Pelodiscus sinensis: one gene and its partner. The protein of the gene in region 1 purifies or fractionates together with the protein of each later gene. This does not show direct contact. Links are inferred from orthologs where the notes say so. Each region holds a gene or a part of one and is shown in the gene's direction. Other genes may lie near its edges.

Region 1 (10,194 bases):
GTAATATGGGGGATTGGATCAGCGGCTTCAAAGGAATAGTAGCTGTTGTTCTTCTGGCAGATTTTAGGCTGGATCTAAACAAAACTTTTTCTTAAGATCCCATGCCATTGCAACCTCTGGTGCAAGTGCAGCTCTACCATTGGTAGAAACTGTGGGATTACCAGTTTATATTATCCATTAACTTCTTCATCTTCATGTGGTCTAGATATCAGTCACCAACACCATATGCTTCCAGATCTCCTTTAATGGAAAGGTAGAGTTAGGAAGTGGACAGAAATACTGTGTCTTTCCCCTTTCAAGTCCAAAACATATCTCTATCTCCCTTGCTATAAGCACTGTAAGTGGGCATGCTCACTCATTACTGTACTCTGAAGTCAGGTCCCCAAGATCACATAACTGGGACTGGATGAATTACTCCAATAGGCTGTGGTAAAAAATACTACTGTTTAGGCAAGTGACTATGAAAATGAATAATGTTGTAGACTATTCTTTATATCTGTTTTTGACATTGAATTCAATGTATTGTCCTTCCATTTACATTGAGAATACATAGCTAAATTTTAGAAACTCTGTAGGGAAAATTGGAGGTACTGGCATGTGAATAAAGGAAAAAGCATTTGGACAAAAAAAAAAAAAAAAAAGCCTAGGGCAGTGATACTAAACTAGATCTATCCACAGGCTGATTTATGATTTTATGATAAGAGGCAAGCCATTTGTGTAAAAGGCAGATGAGAAAATAAACAAAAAGCCCCCCAAAACAACCACACTTCAGTTTCCAATAAATAAAGGCCCTGATTGCAATGTAAGTGTTAGTATTCCTATATTATAATGAAGATTATAAAACAAAATTATTGCCTATGTTTGTGGCAATCTTTAATTGGAGAAGCGACATTGATGATATCTGGCAAACTTTGTAAAGAGTGGTTTATAGGAGGTCAGGGCAAGGAGTATGCACTGGTGAAGATGCTCATCTGTCAGGTGATTGTAGGGTTGGTATTGAATGATATTTATAATGTTTATAGTACAAAACACAGATTTGTGGAGGTACATTGATCCAAACACTATTAAAAGATAGTTAGATTTTTGGCTATTCTGACACTGGTCATCATCTTGAGTCCAGAAATCACAAAGTCCCGCTTATCTCTATGCTCTCAAGCCTTAATATTTCTAATTGAAACACACCTTCAGCAAATGAATCAAGAATATTCTTTGCTTCAGAAGATCAAGGCCCATTCACAGAGACAACAAAGGGATCACAAACAAATAAAAGCAAATTCTTTGGAATTTTAAAATCTCAAATCACATTTTAATTGATCAGATTGCTGCGGACCTCTTACAGGCTACGTCTACACTGGCCCCTTTTCCGGAAGGGGCATGTAAATTTCAGCAGTCGTCGTAGGGAAATCCGCGGCATTTAAATAAAAATGTCCGCCGCTTTTTTCCGGCTTTTAAAAAAGCCGGAAAAGAGCGTCTAGACTGGCCCCGATCCTCCGGAAAAAGTGCCCTTTTCCGGAGGCTCTTATTCTTACTTCAAATAAGAGCCTCCGGAAAAGGGCACTTTTTCCGGAGGATCGGGGCCAGTCTAGATGCTCTTTTCCGGCTTTTTTAAAAGCCGGAAAAAAGCAGCGGACATTTTTATTTAAATGCCGCGGGGGATATTTAAATCCCCCGCGGATTTCCCTACGACGACTGCTGAAATTTACATGCCCCTTCCGGAAAAGGGGCCAGTGTAGACGTAGCCACATTGTTTTTATTTAGGTTTCATCTGTAGCAACAACATACAATGTGGGAAAATGCAACATCTTTCCTGTTAAGTCTGTCTGAAAGATTTTGAGATTTCTCTGAAAAAGACACACATTTTCAAAACAGATCTCTGACACTTCTTCTTAAACCCTTGTATTCCAAGTGGAGCATAGGTCATCTACAAGTCTCTTCCACTTCACTCTGTTTTGAGACAAAACTTCTAGCTGACTCCAGGAGTACCCCAGTTGTTGTCCTTCAATCTCAGTAGATCTTCTCCATGTTGTCTGAGGTCTTCCTCTTTTGCGTCTTCCTTGTAGGTTCCATGTGAGGGCTTGATGGACTATGCTGGATTATGGTTGTCTGAGAGAGTGGCCTAGCTATCCCCACTTTCTTCTCTTGACTTGTATATCAAGAGGTTCTTGTCCTGCTCTGTTCCAAAGCTCCTTATTTGTGACAAAATCTTGCCATTTGATGTGAAGGATGTACCTCAGGCATCTGTTTATGAATGTCTGTAGCTTGTGATTTAAGACTTTTTAATATGCCAGGTCTCACATCCATACAAGAGCACACTTTTCACATTTGTGTTGAAGATTCGCAGTTTCATCTTAGCAGATATTTGTGAACTCCATATGGGATGAAGAGTCTTGAACGCAGCTGTTGCTTTCCCCATCCTAGCATTGATATCCTTGTCTGTTCCTCTGTCTCTGCCCATAATACTCCCCACGTAGATGAACTGCTCCACATATTCCAGGTTATCCCCTCCCAGTGTGATGGTGGTGGTGTTGGACTCGTTGTTCCTCACTGTCTTGGTCTTTCCCTTGTGACTGCTCAGCCCAGTCATTGAGACAGTTTTTTCCAGTGTTGCAACCTTTTCTTCCATGTTGGTGTTAAGGGAGGGCGACATCGTTAGCAAAATCAATGACAGAACTGGAACTGTAAGCTGAGGGAATTCAAGTGACTAGTAATACTGCACAGAAAAGCTACCTGTGGAGTGAAGGTTCAGGGCGGCATTTTGCAGGGTGATATCCCACCTCCATTCGGCCAGTGTCCTGGGCTCACCACTACCATGCTGGAGCCTTCATATTTATTTATTGATAAATAAAATTTGCAAAATGTTAATATATTGTGTGCAGATTTTTTTTTGGCACAGAATTCCTCCAGGAGTAAGTATAAATGTGTATGGCAATGATATCTGCATTTCCTTGCATTTTGTTAAATATGCATATTTAATGAAGCATTAGTATATCCTAGAATTCTCAGGGATCTGACTGGGAGATATTTGAGTGACTAGTGATTATCTTCAAATAGATGGGAAAGATTCCAGAGGATTGGAAAATGGCATTGTATTTGCCCGATCTATAAAAAGGTGAATAAAGACAACTCAGGAAATTACAGACCAGTCAGTCAGCTTAACATCAGTGCACAGAAAGATAATGGAGCAAATAATTAAGCAATTAATTTGCAAATACCTAGATTTATCACCTTCTGTGTAGACTGTTATTTATCAAGAACAAATTGTGTCAAAACATCCAAACTACTTTCTTTAACAAGGTAATAAGTCTTGTGTATAGGGAAGGGAGGAAGTGATAGATGTGGGATATCTTGAATTTTGTAAGGCTTTTGATACTATCTCATAAACAAACTTGGAAAATTCAGACTAGATGGAGCTACTATAAGGTGAGTGCATAACTGGTTGGAAAACTGTTCCCAGAAATAGTTATGGTTGGAGGGCTTATCTCTTCACCCTCCCACTTCCATAATCCTTGTATGAACAAAGAATAGCAATAACCTGAAGTCTGGAGATGAAAACAATGTGATGTTTATTTGTGTTAGCTTCCAGCAAGCATGAATCCCATTTCCTTTTTCAAACTTACTTCTTGTTTTCCTTCAATTTATATAGTAATATTCTCAGCAATCCCTAAATCAATCATTTTACTGAAATTTAACTAACTATTCCTGACATTGTAACATAATGACCTAACCAATTATATCCCACCATCTTAATTGGTTTACACCCTGCAAAGTTAATTACACTGTGACAGAAGCAAAGTACTAGAGGCTATGTCTACACTATGGCTGTGTCTATATTGGCACCCCTTTCCGGAAAAGGGATGCTAATGAGACCAGTTGGAATTGCAAATGCCGTGGGGGATTTAAATATCTCCCGCGGCATTTGCATGAACATGGTTGCCGCTTTTTTCCGGCTCGGGGTTTTGCCGGAGAAAAACGCCGGTCTAGACGGGATCTTGCAGAAAATAAGCCCTTTTCCGGAAGATCCCTTATTCCTACTTTCCAGAAAAGGGCTTATTTTCCGCAAGATCCCGTCTAGACTTGCGTTTTTCTCCGGCAAAACCCTGAGCCGGAAAAAAGCGGCAGCCATGTTCATGCAAATGCCGCAGGGGATATTTAAATCCCCCACGGCATTTGCAATTCCGACTGGTCTCATTAGCATCCCTTTTCTGGAAAGGGGTGCCAATGTAGACACAGCCTATGGTTTTTTTCAGGATACCAGAAGTATCCCAAAAAAACGCTGCTGAGTCCAGGGAACGCGTGTGCATTTCCGCTTTTTTTTGTGGAAGTGGAAACATGCTCTTTTGCAAGCTCCTGTATTCCTCCTTCCCTGAGGAAGAAGGGAGCTTCTGAAAGAGGTTTTTTTTCCTGACATTTGGCCCATTCTAGATGGGTCAAATGTTGGAAAAGCCTCTTCTGACAAAAGAATCGGAAAAAGGTATGCAAAATGTGGAGGGCATTTTGCGTAGCTTTTTCCGACAAATACTTGTAGTCTAGACCTAGCCAGATCGACCATACAGATAAACAATAGAGAAGTGAGGACTATAATGACAAAACAATAAAGAAATGAGGATGTCACAGTACCCTCTCCTCTCTTTCTCTGGTATTTATTTGGAACTTGGACCCCTTAACTCCATGCATCTGAAGAAGTGGGTTGTGCCCATGAAAGTTCATGATACCATCTAGATTTTTTGTTAGTTTCTAAGTTGTTGCAAGACTATTTGTTATTTTTTTGTCAGTTACAGACTAACACAGTTACCCCCTCTGAAACTTTTGAGGTATATAAAAAGTTGTTACAAGATGGTAGGAAACAAATTGTTTTTAACTCCTGTAGATAGGACAAGAAGCAATGTTTGAATGTTTCTCCTGTCTTGTTTACTGACCGTATGCCTAAACCAGGGACTGTTAAACTGATCCTCAGAGATTGCCAGCAAATAATTGTTTATATTAACATCCACTGGTTTGCATTGCCTGCAGAAGTCTCACCTGCCCTACACTTTAATTTAAATAGGGAGATTTAAATATTTCCTTTGTGATATTAATAGTGTACCTGGACTACTGGAGGAAGCCAAAGACTGAAGATTAACATCCCTCTCTGAAGCAATGAACTAACTACTAACACACCCTTTCTGGCCATCCTTAGGCATGTGCAGTTGCCTAGGGTACCACTAAATTTAGGTTTGCTGCCTCAAATTTTATGGTGGCCTATGCTGCACGTACCTAGGGATGGGATGTTAAGCAGCCACAGGTTGTGCTGATCTGGTTTTGGTGGCCCCATCCCCACGCCACACGCCCTGCGGGGTCAACACTGGCTCTGTCGATACCAACCCCCCCACTCACTAGGCAGCGGTGAGTGGCGCAAGTGCAGGCCAAAGGGCTCCGGGGGAGCAGGTGGTAGCCACGCAGCCGGCGGCTGGAGAGAGGCGTTGTTTCCCCTTCACAGCTCTACTGCTCTTCGGCGGGCGTCGTGTCGGGCCTGCACTGTGTCGCCCATCTACTGCCCGGAGGCCTCCCTCCCTGCCCCGCTCCAGGATTCCCAACTCTACGGGACCGGACACTATCGCAGCAAATGGCATCAGGTCCGTTTGGTCAGAGAGTGGGCAGCCCCCGCCCCCGTGGGGGTGCGTGCGCTGGTGCGGAGCCGCGTAGGGCCCAGCACTGCCAGGGTCGGCTCTGACGCCTCCGGGAGCCCCACTCTTTGTGGCGGTCAAAATGGCCCCTTGCGATAAGGGAGCTTTAATGTATCCCTTAAAACGGAGCTGTGCCACGCCCGGCTCCCCGCAGGACACGCACTGGCCGCCGGGGAAGCGTAAGGGGCTCCCGGCTGTGAGATGCCGCTGCCCGGAGCGGTCACTCCGGCGGGGCCCGCGGACCGCTGCAAACTACACATCCCAGCATACGGCGCTCTACAGCCAGGCCCGGCGAGGCGTGCAGTATGCTGGGAACGCTCTGCGCTCCCCATTGTTCTCCCTCCGACACAAGTCCGCTCGCTCTCGCCCGGGCAGCAACAGCCGCTTCAGTCCAGGCTGGGGGACTTTTCCTTCCGCCTTGTGAGGCTGCGAGTGACTTGGTTAGCCTCCAATCAGTGCTTGCCTTTGCGCCTCCTGTAACCAATGAAAGGAGGAAGGAGGCGGGCCTGGGGCAGCCAGCAGGCTAGGACTAGGTGGCGCTGGGATAGGTTGTGTGAGAGTCCGCCTCAGACTCGAGAGGGAGGCGAGGCGCATTTAAAGGGCCAGCCCCAGAGTTGCCGGAAAGTTGTGTGGAGTTAAGGGGGGGGGGGCCGGCGGGGGCCTGTCAGGCGATATCGCGCCGCGGCGGACTGGGCTCAGCGCGCTTCCAGCCCACAGTGGCAGCATGGAGCCTGCAGCACCGAAAAGGTATCGAGCCCCGTCCTCGCTCTGGCACTGAGCGCAGCTGGCGGCGTGGTCTGGTGGGTGGGGGCAGGAGCTGGAGCTAGGCCTCGCCAGGCACCACTGGGCTACGGCCGGCGCCGCCCTCCCCCGGGACTGCTGGGATATGCCCCTTCTCTCCCCCACTGAGAGTGACGTGAGGAGACATTAGGCCCCCCGGCCTGTGATCCCCTCCTCCCCCTTCAGCCTTGGCGCTCCCCCTCCGTGGGGGGAGGGGACAGACGCCAGTTCAACCCTCCCTCCAACATTGGCGCTAAGCTCTCCCCCTCTGAGGTGGCACTATTGGTCGTAACCCCCTCTCCCATAAATCGCTTAACAGTCACTACCCAATGCTAGGGTGAATGCGAAGACTGGCATGTGCTTACACAATTTAGCACCAATTCCTATGGGGGTGGATGGAAATGTAGACTGGACACCTACAATGAGCCTTCCCCCAGCTCAGGGATTCTTCTTTGCTTTCTACAAACTTAGTTTATTCACGAGGGATGGAGGGTGGAAGAAGAGAACATAAAAACACCCAACATTAAAACTAATCCAGGAGGGAAATCCTAATATATCACTCTTCTGTCTATAGAACTAATTTTGGGATGGCAGAGATTGTAACAAACTTCCTTTCAATCTTACATTGCAATTGTAGTCTGAACCTGACTACAAATGACATTGAAATTCCATATTTTTATCTCAATCCCTTCTAAATAAATAATGCTCAGTTAGCTTCTTTTGTAAATCTTGGCCCTATGTATCTCAACTAATGGATTAAGTTAAATCAGCAACCCATATTATTCTGGAATAGCGGAATTTCTAAGTGAAGACTAACCTTTATTGAGCCCAACAGAGAACTGTCAGGATGACAATAAATCTTCTGTGAGATCAGACTACATAGTCTAGGCTCTGAACTTAAATCTATATTTTTAAAACTAATGCTGAGGAAGAAATTGACATCGTGTGCTATGGGTGTACCACTACTAGCTTCCGTGAGGCTCTGGGCATGCTTCACAGTGCAGCTTTTAGAGATTATATTGGTAAAGTATATTGCTTTTACATTTGAAAGATCCTAGTTTTTTCACTGCTACCTTTTAAAATTTCATTTTAAAAAAAGTTGCCCACATCTAACTGCAGATCTACACTACACATTGCAGGGCAATGCCACCCCATGAATACCGTAGCTGGAGTTGCCAGGACTTAGGTCGAGTTGCCACAGGGTCAGTGGGAGAAACTCTCCTTTCAACTTCCCTGATGCTACTCATTCTGATGGAGTACTGAAGTCGGCCAGAGAGACTGATCAGTGGTAGATTTAGAAGGTCTACGTGAAGACTTGCTAAATCAATCCCTAGGGAATTGATTGTCACAGCATCAGTCTCCCAGTAGGATACACCTGCCCTAAGACACAGCAGAAGCCAGGAGAATATGTGAATGTTCTGTTGGCTATAGACAATAATCAGTAATACTGAATAAAAGCTGCTTGGAGTGAAATATAGCTTAAGGACACTTAATTGTTTTTAGAGGACAGGAATTTGAAAAATCATGACTATATTATCACCTCTCCGTTTTAATTATGGTTCTTCTGGAGAAAAGCTTTTCACAAAATGTGAGCATCTGAAGCTAATTGCAACTAATGTATTATCCAGAATTTTTATTAGACTGTAACAGAACAATAATAAAAGCCATGGACTTCATCCAAATGATTTGGATGGAGCTTTTACTTGAAAAACACTGTTAAAATAGCTTAATCTCATAATTAGCAGATTTATTCAAGTAAATTAGGAAGATCCAAAATTAGAAACTCTTAACAAAAAACCCTTACTGTTGTGGAATTGACAACCCCAAAGGCTCATAAATTGTCAGGTCCCTGACAGATAATGATTTAAATACATTTTGAATTTTGAGCCTTTAGGGTTCATGTATTTAGGCTTTTCTCCACAACCATGAAGATGAGAAACTTGATTCCAGAGCTTTGTATACACATGTTAAAGTTTAAAGCGCTGCTGAGGTCTCCGAGCACTCTGTCAGTGTTTCTCAACTTTTTTTTTTTAAATATCCCTTTAAAAAAAAAAGGCCTCCCTTTTTTTAAAAAAAAATTGCAAGTACCCCCAGTACCTACAGTTTTCAGACACACACAATTTTTTTCTATCCTTGCAACACATTTGTTTAAACAACTTAATCATAGCCGGGTGAACAATGAAATTTTTGGGTGTAAAAAGTACAAAAATAATAAAGCGCTGTAAAACTTAACAAAATCAGTTTTCTCCAAATTTCAGTTGTATTGATGTACCCCTCAGACTGCTCTCGAGTACCCTTAAGGGTACTTGTACCACTCATTGAGAAACACTGCTCTAGGTAAACAATCTACATGAGGCAAGTAGCTAACAGTGCTTGGGCTGCAGCTCCCAGCGCTATAGCATTATTCACACTGGTGCTTTACAGTGCTGTAACTTGCTGATGCTGGTGGTTTTTTTTACACTCCTAAGTGAGAAAGTTAAGATGCACTAACTTGCTAGTGTAGACAAACCCCAAGAGCTGTTGCTTTAAGGAAAACACTAAAGGCCTCATCTAACAACAAAAGTTATATTGCCTTACCTTTGCTGATAGTTAATGGGGTATAGCCCCACCCTAGTGTGAATGCAGTTATAGTAGCATGAAGTGTTGATACCATTATAGCAGGGGTTCTCAAGCTTTTGTATTGGCGAATCCTTTCACAAAGCAAGTCTATGAATGTGACCCCTTTGTAAATGAAAACATTTAACACTATTATAAATGCTGCAGGTGAAACAAGGATTGGAGATAGAAGCTGACAGCTTGTGCCCCTCCCCCGTCCCCTATAACACCTCTAGTTTCAGAATCCCTGTGCTATAGTTTATTGATGAGTATAGTTTTATACCTCTTCCTTTAGAAGTATATTTGTTTTCTGTTAGAGGTGATTGTATTTTCTTTAACTGATGTAGATATAGTTGTACAAAATTGCCCTTAGACCAGGCCTTAATATCAATAATAGCAATACAGTTTTGAGAGTTAACTTATCATACATAATGTTGCTATGTGAACTATCATGCTTCAGCGCAAAACCCCAGACAAATTGATAAGGTGGGGGATTTAGGAGGAAACTTTCCTAGTGAGCAGGGGTATCCTCTGACTGCTGATTGCCAGCTTTCTTGTATCTTTCCTCTGAAGCATTGTTTCCCAAATGGTGTTCTGGGGAACCCCAGAGTTCTGTGAAGTGAAAATAAGGGTTCTGCAAGAAAATTCCATTACAATAACATTTTATGATTTAAAAAAATAAATATTTAAGCATTTATTAATTTTATTGAAAACAATTTTCATTTGTATTGATCTCATGACCTTGTTTAGCATTTGTTTATTATTATCCTTACTTATTTGTGGTCTACTTTTTCAGCTCCACGTAGAAGACTTATTAGGGGTTCCACAAAATTATTTCGAGTTTAAAAGGGTTCCGTGGCCAAATGAAATTGGGGAAACACTCCTCTGAAGCATATGTTACAGGGTACTTTTTGAGAGAGGGTTACAGAATAAGATGACTTTGTTTTAATCCAGCTCAGCAACTTTTGTGGTATTAAATATGTGTTTTAAAACAAGATATATTAATGACAACTCATTGAGGGTTTTTTGTTTTTTTTTTTGCAGGTGCATTTTTATTTTATCTGGTATATATTCAAACTAACACCAACTTTAAGGCTTTTGGTTTGGGATTTTACTCACTGTTTACTTTTTGGTTTTGGAGCTGTTACTACTTCAT
Region 2 (10,243 bases), on another chromosome or scaffold:
CAACAATTAAATACATTTCCTCTCGAGAGCATCATTCATGGAACTCAAAGCTGAAGGAAAATTTTGTTGATCAGGGTCTCTTCTTATTCATTGTTTACATTTTAAATATTTTTCCTCAAATTTTTGAGAACATAGCTATCATAATGCAGTATGTTCGTATTAACTATCCATGACATTCAGCCATGGGTAGAAGGCAATCAGGAGGCATGTACACCATGTAAATCCAATGTAAGGTAAATCTCATTAGTAGATCTATGTAATAGGACTTCAGTGGTGAATATTAGGTTGTGTGCTCAGCAGAGAGGACTGGAAGGAGTTAAGGTGGCCAGGTAGGCATATTAATTCCACAGGCTGCACCTGGAGGAAGAGCCAAGGAGCAGAGATTGTAAGTATGTCCAGCTGTGCAGGGACAGGTGGGCTCTATGAAGGCAGGAAGATGACAACAAACAAGGGCTGCAGCTGGGAAAGGGCAGCCACTGCCTGAGAAGAGGGAGCAGTTTTGAGGCTGCAGGAGTTGTAGGAAGCAATCTAGGGAAGGTGTAATGAGGGCTGGGAGAGGAAAGCTCAGTACTGCTGAGTGTATGGTCCCTGAACTAGATCCCAGAGTAGTAAGTAGGCCCAGCTCCCCCTACCAGCCACCGAGGGTGAGGAATAGACGATTGGGGTAGTGAATGGGAAGACTATCTGGGTCTCTGTGAAAGTGACCGAGAATAGGACTGTACCTGGAAGGGACGGAACACTGAGTGACCTAACTGGAGGGCTGAGTCATGAAGAGGACGCTGTGGTTTCTGGGATGAGAAAGGAATTGTAAATACGAGAAACAGACAGTGTGATGGTGTGCAACCACAGGAAGGGGTGTTGACCTCAAGAACTAATCCCAAGAATAACCAAGACGAGGCACCAGACAAGCAGTGAATAGAGCACCTTTTGACATTCATCTAAACATTGTAAATTAATTAAAAAAAGATTAATAATATAACCAGATCCCCAAGATGAAAACGCAGCCTTAAGTGTATCATCTGAGTTTGTTATACTATGATAGCTATTTGGTTAGCAAGTACAAAATGGATAAGTAACGTGAACCTTAAATATTTTTTTCAACAGTTGATAACGGTTTCTCTCTTTCTAAATCTGTATGGCTGCTTCTAGACTGGCATGATTTTGCAAAAATACTTTTAACGGAAAAGTTTTTCTGTTAAAAGTATTTCTGCAAAAGAGCATCTAGATTGGTCCCGGAGTTATCGTAACAACGTTGTGCTTTTGCACAAAAGCGCGTCTACACTGACCCTCTTGCGCAAAATCATTTCCACAAGAGGGCTTTTTCCTGAACGGAAGCGTCAAAGTTTTGCGCAAGAAGCACTGATTTCAGACAGTAGAACGTCAGTGCTCTTGCGCAAAATCAAGCGGCCAGTGTAGACAGTTGGCAAGTTTTTGCGCAAAAGCAACTGCTTTTGCACAAAATCTTGCCAGTCTAGACGCACCCTATGAGTACAGTTTAAATTCATTTTGCTATTTTTTATCCATATTAGTATATCTATGTAATTTTCCTGCAGGTGGGAAGTTGAAATTTTTTTGAAGGCCATGTGACATTGATTCAGCTTTGCACAGTACGTCTTCTCATTTCATCTGACTGAAGAGCTGATGATATGCTTCCATCCTGCAGAACATAAATGTGCTTTCAAATGTTATTTTTTCTTGTAAGACAACTTATTTTCAGGTAAGAAAAGCTTAGTATTATGAGACAAAGACAAGGCATCTTGAATCACAAAACAAATAAAACTAACAAAAACTACTTTCCCAAGTTTCAGAGCAAGTTATTGTATGTACAGCCATGTAACTGGATCTGCAATCTTCTCCAAGATTCATATCCATGAAGCTAGACCTGCATTTGTAACAAGCATGCAACTGTCCTCAATTTTACCTTAGATCAGACAGTTCCATGTGCTTGTGACTATCTAAGAAATACAAAACATCTGAGCCAAACTCAGTCCTCAAAGAATTTAGAAAGACAAAATATTTGTCTTACAAACAGTAGCCCCCTTAAGGTTTTTAATATTCCTACCACATTATAAATTGTCATATTTCATTTTCTGTAGTAATGTTATATCTATATAGTCTGTGGCAACACAATATAAAACATAAGACTATGGAATTATAGGCCTCAGCAGGATACTTGTATCAAATACATAGCTTAGGAGATCATCTAGTCCAAGCCCCGGGTCAAAGCTAAACAAAGCTTAACTAAATCATTTCAACCAGTGCTTTGTTCAACCTTGCTTTAAAAACCTCTAGGGATGGAGATTCCAGCACCTCCCTAGGTAACCTATTCCAGTGCTTCATCACCCTCCTAGTGAAATAGTTTTCCTAATATCCAACCTAATATCTTCCCCCAGCAACTTGAGACTGTTGCTTCTTGTTCTGTTATCTGCCACTACTGACAATACCTAGCTCCATCCTCTTTGGAATCCTGCTTCACATAGCTGAAGGCTGGTATCAAATTGCCTCTTGTTCTTCTCTTCTGAAGACTAATGAGCACAATTCTCTCAGCCTCTGCTCTTTAGTCATGTGCCCTGGCCCCCTAATAATTTTTGTTGCCTTCACCTGGTCTCTCTCTAATTTGTTCCATCCCTTCTGGGTGAGGAGTGGGGAGAGGGGGAACTGAATGCAATACTCCAGATGTGGCCTCACCAGTGCCAAATAAAGGAGAATAATTGCTTCCCTAGGGCTATGTCTACACAGCACCCTAAACTCAAAATAAGATTACGCAATTTGAATTGTGCAAATTGTGTTCTTATCTTGAATCTATTTTGAAATTTGAAATTTGGTATGTCTAACAGCACCACATTTCAAAATAACATGCTATTTTGAGCCATCCCTTATCCCTCTTACAAGGAGGCTTACCAGGATGGTGAAATAGTGCACCCATTATTTTGAAAAATATTTCAAAATAATGGGCAGCTTGTGTAGATGTAGGCTAGCTATTTCGGGATACCGGAGATATCCCGAAATAGCCATGCAGTGTAGACATATCCTAGAACTGCTCACAATGTTCCTCCTTATGCAGCTTAATATGTGGATAGCCTTCTTGGCAACAAGGGCACACTATTGACTCATATCCAGCTTCACATCTGCTATAATCTCCAAGCCCTTTTCTGCACAACTGCCACTTAGCCAGTGGGTCCCCAGTCCATAGCAGTGCATGAGATTCTTCCGTCCTAAGTGTAGGACTCTGCACTTGCCCTTGTTGACCCACATCAGATTTCTTTTGGCCTAATCCTCCAATTTGTCTAGGTCACTGTCCCTATGCTCCAGCATATCTACCTTCCCGCCCAGCTTAGTTTAATCCACAAACTTGCTGAGAGTGCAAACTAACCTATTTTCCAGATAATTAATAAAGATATTGAACAAAACTGGCCCCATGTATGTATGCCCCTAGGACACTCCGCTTGATATAGGCTGCCAACTAGACATCAAGCATATTGATTTCTACTTGTTGAGCCTGCAATCTAGCCAGCTTTCTATACCTTACAGTTTATACATCCAGACCATATTACTTTAACTTGCCAGCAAGAATACTATGGGAGGCCATATCTAAAGCTTTGTTAAAGTAAAGGTATATCACAGCCACCACTTTCCCCATACCCACAGAGCCACTTACCTTATCATAGAAGGCAATCAGTTTGGTCAGGCATGACTTGCCCTTCGTGAATCCACATTGACTGTTCCTGATCACCTTCCTCAAGTGTTTCAAAACACTTATTATAGTTATGGGGTTTTGTAGTGTTTGTTTTAAGTAAACCCTATCTCCTAAACCTCAACAGATAATTTTTCCAGAGTTGTTTGTTTCTGTGGTAGTGATTGTTTATTTATTTTTTAAATAGAAGACACTAGTCAGTCACCCATGTAATGCACCTTGTGTGATGAAATGCATTTAATACCATTAATGAACTTGACTCACTGTGATTGTGATGTGTGAAATCCTGGGAATCATTATCATTCTATTTTGCAAACGTGTAGTAAAATACTATTCAGATGCACCCTCTCCTCAGCTTATGGGTCAAATCCTGCTGATAATACACATGTATGCATACCAGAAAGCCCATGTGTGGAAACGGGAAAGAATTTTGGAAGTTGCTTGCATCTGTGCATTCCTCCACAAAATTACAGAGCCCTCTCAGCACGTCTGTAACTGAACTGGTGAATCAGTATGCGTGCAATGGGGTTTTGCAATGGGAAAATGGGGAAAAAAATACATCCATATGTATTTGTGTGTACTTGTATGTATCAACATAGACCAGTGCAAGGATACTATGAAAAACACTACAAACAGCAGGAAAAAAAGAAAACTATAGTCACAACTAGTAGAACATGGTTCATATTAGTGACACTTTTTGCAGCATATTTGTGTCCATTAAGACTTTTCTATTTTAGGAAACTTGCTAGGAATTGTTCAGTACAGTTTTTCTTTTCCACTGAGTTTTCTGGGTTTACATAACATGGCTGTCAAAATGCTTGTGCCTAGTTTATAACACAATTTACATGGCTAATAGCACCAAGGAAACTATATGAACGCAGGAAACATGGTGTCATGTAAATGCATGGTTAGAGGACACTCTAATCACATTTTAGCCAGCATTTGTCAGGCTCTCTGTTTTTATTTTGAGAAGGTTTATTCATGTTTAGAAACACCTGGTTATATGAAATGGCTATAACAAGACATGCAATATGGTCCTTAGTGAATAGGCAGGCAGGAGAAATGGGATTTATTTTTGGTTCTGTCACTGATCTGCTTTTTGTAACTTTAGACAAAACTCTCACTTCCCTGTGCCTCTTTTCTCTCATTGTTTCTTTTTCTTGCTTACTTGGACAGTAAACTCACCTAGGCAAAGACTCCCTTTATTTGCTTATACAGTGGTTAGCAACATGGAGTCCTGATCTTGGATGGGGCCCCAGGCCCTACTGTAATACAAATAAGTTATTGCTATTATATTTATAACATCTGAAATACATGTTTATTACAGTGATGCCAATGTGCAGTAAAAACAAACACATTTTGGGAACATAGGAGTTGACATACTTCATGAAAATAAGGTCTAGTCAGCTGACATTTTTTGTATTTGACAGGAGCCAGTGCTGTTTTCAGAGGAAAGTGCATTAAGCCCTGCATAAAGTAATGAGAGAACCTGTCCACAAGATAAGTGTCTTCTCAACTGGCTAGGGTAGAGGTTATCTTTATGCATTGGTGCACAAGAATTTACATCCTTTCTAAACTCACTATTCTGGATGTGTTCTTTCAGATGTTACTGGTGGAGCTCAGGCTCAAACTGTTTATGCAGGGACTGTGGTGTTTGTTTATTTCTGTAGTCTATCCAAGGCAGCATGGTAGGGCCATTTTGCAGGACTGAATTCTATAGCTACAGAGCACTGAGTTTGTTAACAAAGGCCTTTGTTTGAGGGTGTCTTAATACTGTAATTGGTTTTAAAATAAAAAGATGAGGGAATATGTGAATTCCTGCTGCTAAAAACACACTTTAGTATTCTACAGAATCTTCCCCAAGTTCTTTCAGCAGCAGTGTTATGGTGCAATGCAGGAGTTTGGAAACCACTACTGTGATTGTTGTGACACAGTACTTTTTAAAAAGGGATGTTATTTTTGTGAATGGAGATGGGGCCTGGACCAAAAGCTACATCCCCACGAGCCCCACAAGGTGACCTGTGGCTCTGCACTTCAGGACCTGCCCAATTCAAAATGGGCAAAACTTCAAGTTCTCATATGGATTGGGGTGCAAATTCTGTGGTTAGGGTCTTGGTGGAGTTATGACAGGCAAATTACGGTGCCATCCGAAGGTGCTGCTCCCATGCAGTTTTGGAGAGGAGAGGAAAGGAAAAGCTCTGTGCTGCGTGTCAGCTGAGGCTGGGGGGGAAAGAGGGGTCTGCTTCAGTCTGAACTTTTCCCTATCGTTGGAGCTGTGCTGAGGCCGGGGGTGCAGGGCTTCTCTGCAGAGGCAGGGGCCAGTTTGCTGGGCCCCAGGCCCCCCTCACCTTGCTCAGCCTCGGGCATTGTTTGCAAACCTCATTCCTTCTGCTTCCGGAGGCAGCGCCGGGGATGATTTGCTGCAGATGACATCAGCTGTGGATGCTGGAGCAGCGGCAGCAGCAACGCGCCGGGATGTGCCGGGTCCCCTCCTCCTCCTCCTCGGGTCCCAGCCCTGCACCGTCTCGGTATAAAAGCGCCGCCGCCTCCCCGCCCGCCTTCACTCGCCTGCTGCCCGCAGCCCGGCAGCACTCGGCAGCAGCTCCGCGCCGAGGCGCGACGCACCGCTGGAGACAACCCTTCCCCCATCCCGAGCAGCGGCCAGAGGAGGCGGAGAGGGGCCGGCAGGATGGCGACCGTGGTGGTGGAAGCGGAGCCGGACCCGTCTTGTAGTGTCCCCAGCCCGGCGCCCCCCTCGCCCAGCCTCTCGCACCGCTTCCTCGACAGCAAGTTCTACCTGCTGGTGGTCCTGGGCGAGCTGGTGACCGAGGAGCAGCTGAGACGGGCCATCGGCACCATAGAGCGAGGTAAGCGCCCGGCGCGGGGACAACCACAGGTTGCGCCCAAGTCTCTTCGGGAGACCCCCCCCCCCCCCCCGGCGCTTTTATCGGCAATAAATGCTCCGCGCCGGGACTCAGGGGGTTGCCTTCCCCGAGCCGCCAGGGGGGACCGCTCTGACGCGACCGCTCCCTGGGCTCGGCGGGGAGAAGCCTCTGCTGCGGGCTGCCGCGCGAACAGTTGGCAGGAGCTCAGCCCAGGCGGGCTCCAGCCTCCTTGGCTGCTGCCCCGCGCCTTGCCGGGGCGCGGAGGGAGGGCGGGCTGGGCTGCAGCTGTACCTACTGACTGGGGCGAGGGGGCTCTCGGTTTGGCGCAGAGGGGGAGAAACCGCCCTTTGCTCGTCGCGGGAGGGGCACCCCACCTTTGGTGTCATCAGTGCCCCGGGCCCTTTTTTGCCATTGCAGAAGGAAAGCCGTCCTGAGATCCCTGCCTGCTGGGGCGGGGCCGGGTCTTCTACCCCTTTCCTTCGCCTGCCTCGGATCTAGACTCCTAGGGGTCACTTCTTCACCGAGAATGTCTAGACATAAAGGACGGGGGACAGACGGCAGGAATGGGATCTTTGTGCACACGCTGCTGTTAATCTAGTAGTTGAGGTGCAGTGTCGTGAGACGTTCATGGCCAATGTGCAAAGCAGCAACAGCAGCAGAGATGAAGGAGGCTCCTTCTATATCGCATCGGCTCCCCCCACACAAAGATCTGCAGTTGGCTTTTGCTGCACCCACACTGCCCGAGACACAAGGAAGGGGGTGAACGAGTGAGACAACAGACCTCTTTGCCCCACCCCAACTGATCTCGAGTTTTTCCCACTCCTCAGATTCCTCCCCCCCCCCCCCCCCCCCGCCATTGTTACTGCGCTGTGCTAGTGATTTTTTCTGCAGAGGTCGTTCCGGTCTTCTGCAGCAGCAGCAGCAATGCCTCCTTCGCTTTCTCTATTCCCCTCTTGGTGCTGCTGGAGTCTGTCTGCCCAGAGATACCGGCTCGTGGGCGTGGTGCAGTCCGCACTGCGGTCCCTATGGCAGCCCATAGCGGACAAAGGGCGTTCACATAGACAAGAAAAATACATTTTTAAAATAAATATATATTTTAAAAACTGCATTTCCTCACAACAAAATAAAACCAAAGGGATTTCGAGAATGCTAGTTCTGAATAGCAAGGAACCCCTGAGCAGTAAAGCAGCTGCATCTATTGTTTCTAACTTTCAGCAATAGAGGTTTTTTTGTTTGAAATATTTACAGATACAGATTTTACAGAAGAACCACAAAAAGATTTAAGTGATTAAAATTTCAATAGCTGAACATTCACTTTCATAATTCTTACATTAGCCAGCTACAGGCTGCTGCTATGACTAAGGGTTTATTTGCTTTAATTTTTTTTAAAATCACAATTCCAGCAAAATAAAAGTGAAAACCAGAGATTTTTCTCAATAAATCCTTGACTATTGTTTCTAAAATAGATTTCAGTATTAGAAAATGTTATGACTGCACAATTAACATGCAATACAAATAAAATCATTAGTTACTAGATGCCATAATTTATTAAGCTACATGTTTTGGTAACATGTTTTTTTGTTTTGAGCTGATGAGGGTAGAGATTACAGAATTTCCATTGTCAGAGACCTTGAAACAGTGAATTGGTTACTGTTCCTGGTTTGTAGGTGTGGTTCAGCAGTCCCCATAGGACTTCAATTGTCTTTTCTATTGTTGCTTCATCACCCCCTATCTGTTTTACTTCCAAATTTATTTTTACTCCTTTCTGAGTAAGGCGTTAACCACCTTGTAAAATTACCTTTTTACTTTATAGCTGCCATTGTCTTGTAGTGAAAACTGCTGGTGCTCTGAAATTTAGAGCCACTTGATCATAGTATTGTCCTAATTTTACCCAAGTTTTGATTGACATAAAGCTGAGTTGGCTGTATTTTAAATCAAATTATTAATAATTAATAGAGCAAACGGATGTGTCTTCTGCCCTCAAGACATCTGATGTCATCCTTCCTCTGGAGAAATTCTCTTCAGGCTCTTGAAGCTACTGCTATGCAATTCCTGCTGTCTTGTTTCCATTGTTGCTAAGTTTTGTGAGTTTAGGTGGCATCTTTTAACATTTTAGATATTTATAAGCAACCCCGTGGGCCGTCTACTCAAAATGTTGGATTAGAAGTCATCTTTTTCCTGCAGGTGGCAGATGATCTGATTAGGAAGTCAACCACTGGAGCTGTTACTAATGTTCAGATGCTTTGTTCTGGATTAACACACTGGGGGAGTCCTTAGCTATATATTTGTGGAGCAAATATGGGCTTGATGAACCTCTTGTCTGAGGAAAGCATACTACTATCTGGAAAAAATAGTCCATTCCAAAACCATCCATTCTCAACAAGGCCTTCAGGAGTTCAACATCCCTGTTAAGTTTTCTTTGGTATGTCTTTTGAACATCCTCACTGAAGAATGTGGATTCTTTTACAGTACTGAAGAGAAACAGATATCAGAGAAGATATTATGTTGGTGATTTACATCAAATGATTGGTCTTGTACAGACTGGATGATTACAAATTCATTTGCTTTAAATTTTATGAAGAGAGACATTCTCATTTTGAATTTACCAACTGTATTTTAGAATTCTGAAGTATCTTTCTTGTTTTGAAATGGCAGTCTACTAGTGGTCTAGGATTGCCTTTTTATGTGTGAAAAATGGCTTCAAGATCTTCTTCTGTATAATTGGTCCAGGGTTAGGAACATCTGTATTCCTAATATTCCAGAAAAAAGGAATGATCCCAGTTCATTGTACTTCCACTGACTGCATGTATAACAATATAGTTATTTGTCTTTGAATTGCCCATAGTTCCAGATTTATCTCTATAAACCATCTCAATTATACCTAACGTTATCCCTTCTACTATTGGAAATTTGGTGTTTATCAGAAATGCTGAATCATGGACCTTCAAGTACAGAAAATGCTCTTTAAGATAAACAGTTACATATTATGTTAAGCTTCCAGCATTTTCTTGAATCTTGTATTTTTCGCATTGACAGACTGAGCAATCTGGCTCTGTTCCAGTACTGTATTGCAGAATCTCAAACTGGGCATAAATCCATATTCTACCTATTTGCATCAAAAGGATATCCATGCATCGATTTGATGGCAGGACAGACCCTATGTACTTGCAACATTGCTGTGTCAACATCTGTGTTCCTTAATAGATCTATCACAACAGCAGGCAAGATCTATTAAGCCTTTTAATCTGGCGTACGGCCTGCCCTGCTGGGACTCTTGGGCACGAAGCATCTCAAAGTTTCTGGCTGCTTCATGAGGCTCTCTGGAGGCAGAAACTAGCCAGTAGAAGATGAGAGATTGTTTTAGGGGTAGGGAGCATATGAAATCTTCTGCACCAGCACAGAAAGCCACATGGAACAGCCAATTGCTTTGAACCTGGGGCTGCAGCAGGCAGGGAGTGTGCCTGAAGGTCCCAATGTATCGCTGGATAAGAGCTACCTAGATAAACACCTCCTGGCCACAGCCTACCTTGGGCGCCCCAACCCCTCCACCCCACCCCAATACCCTGACTCCCTATCCTATGTCACCACCTAAACCTTCTGCATCCCTGCCCCAGGTCACAACTCCCTCCCAGACCCTGCACTTCCTCCTACACCCTTCTCCCAG

The links. The genes of interacting proteins can lie anywhere in the genome.
Region 2: the proteins of STK3 (region 1) and MAP1B purify together in Homo sapiens (affinity purification with mass spectrometry; 4 studies listed by BioGRID and IntAct, with this or other methods). This does not show direct contact. The link is inferred for Pelodiscus sinensis from reciprocal best matches to the Homo sapiens genes STK3 and MAP1B.

The regions. Positions count from the first base shown.
Region 1 is NC_134712.1:37,213,714-37,223,907, forward strand, and holds the start of STK3 (serine/threonine-protein kinase 3), read left to right. Parts: upstream 1-6,171; 5' UTR 6,172-6,387; coding exon 6,388-6,410; intron 6,411-10,194. UniProt on the Homo sapiens protein: Stress-activated, pro-apoptotic kinase which, following caspase-cleavage, enters the nucleus and induces chromatin condensation followed by internucleosomal DNA fragmentation.
Region 2 is NC_134716.1:82,107,344-82,117,586, forward strand, and holds the start of MAP1B (microtubule-associated protein 1B), read left to right. Parts: upstream 1-5,759; 5' UTR 5,760-6,383; coding exon 6,384-6,561; intron 6,562-10,243. UniProt on the Homo sapiens protein: Facilitates tyrosination of alpha-tubulin in neuronal microtubules. Phosphorylated MAP1B is required for proper microtubule dynamics and plays a role in the cytoskeletal changes that accompany neuronal differentiation and neurite extension.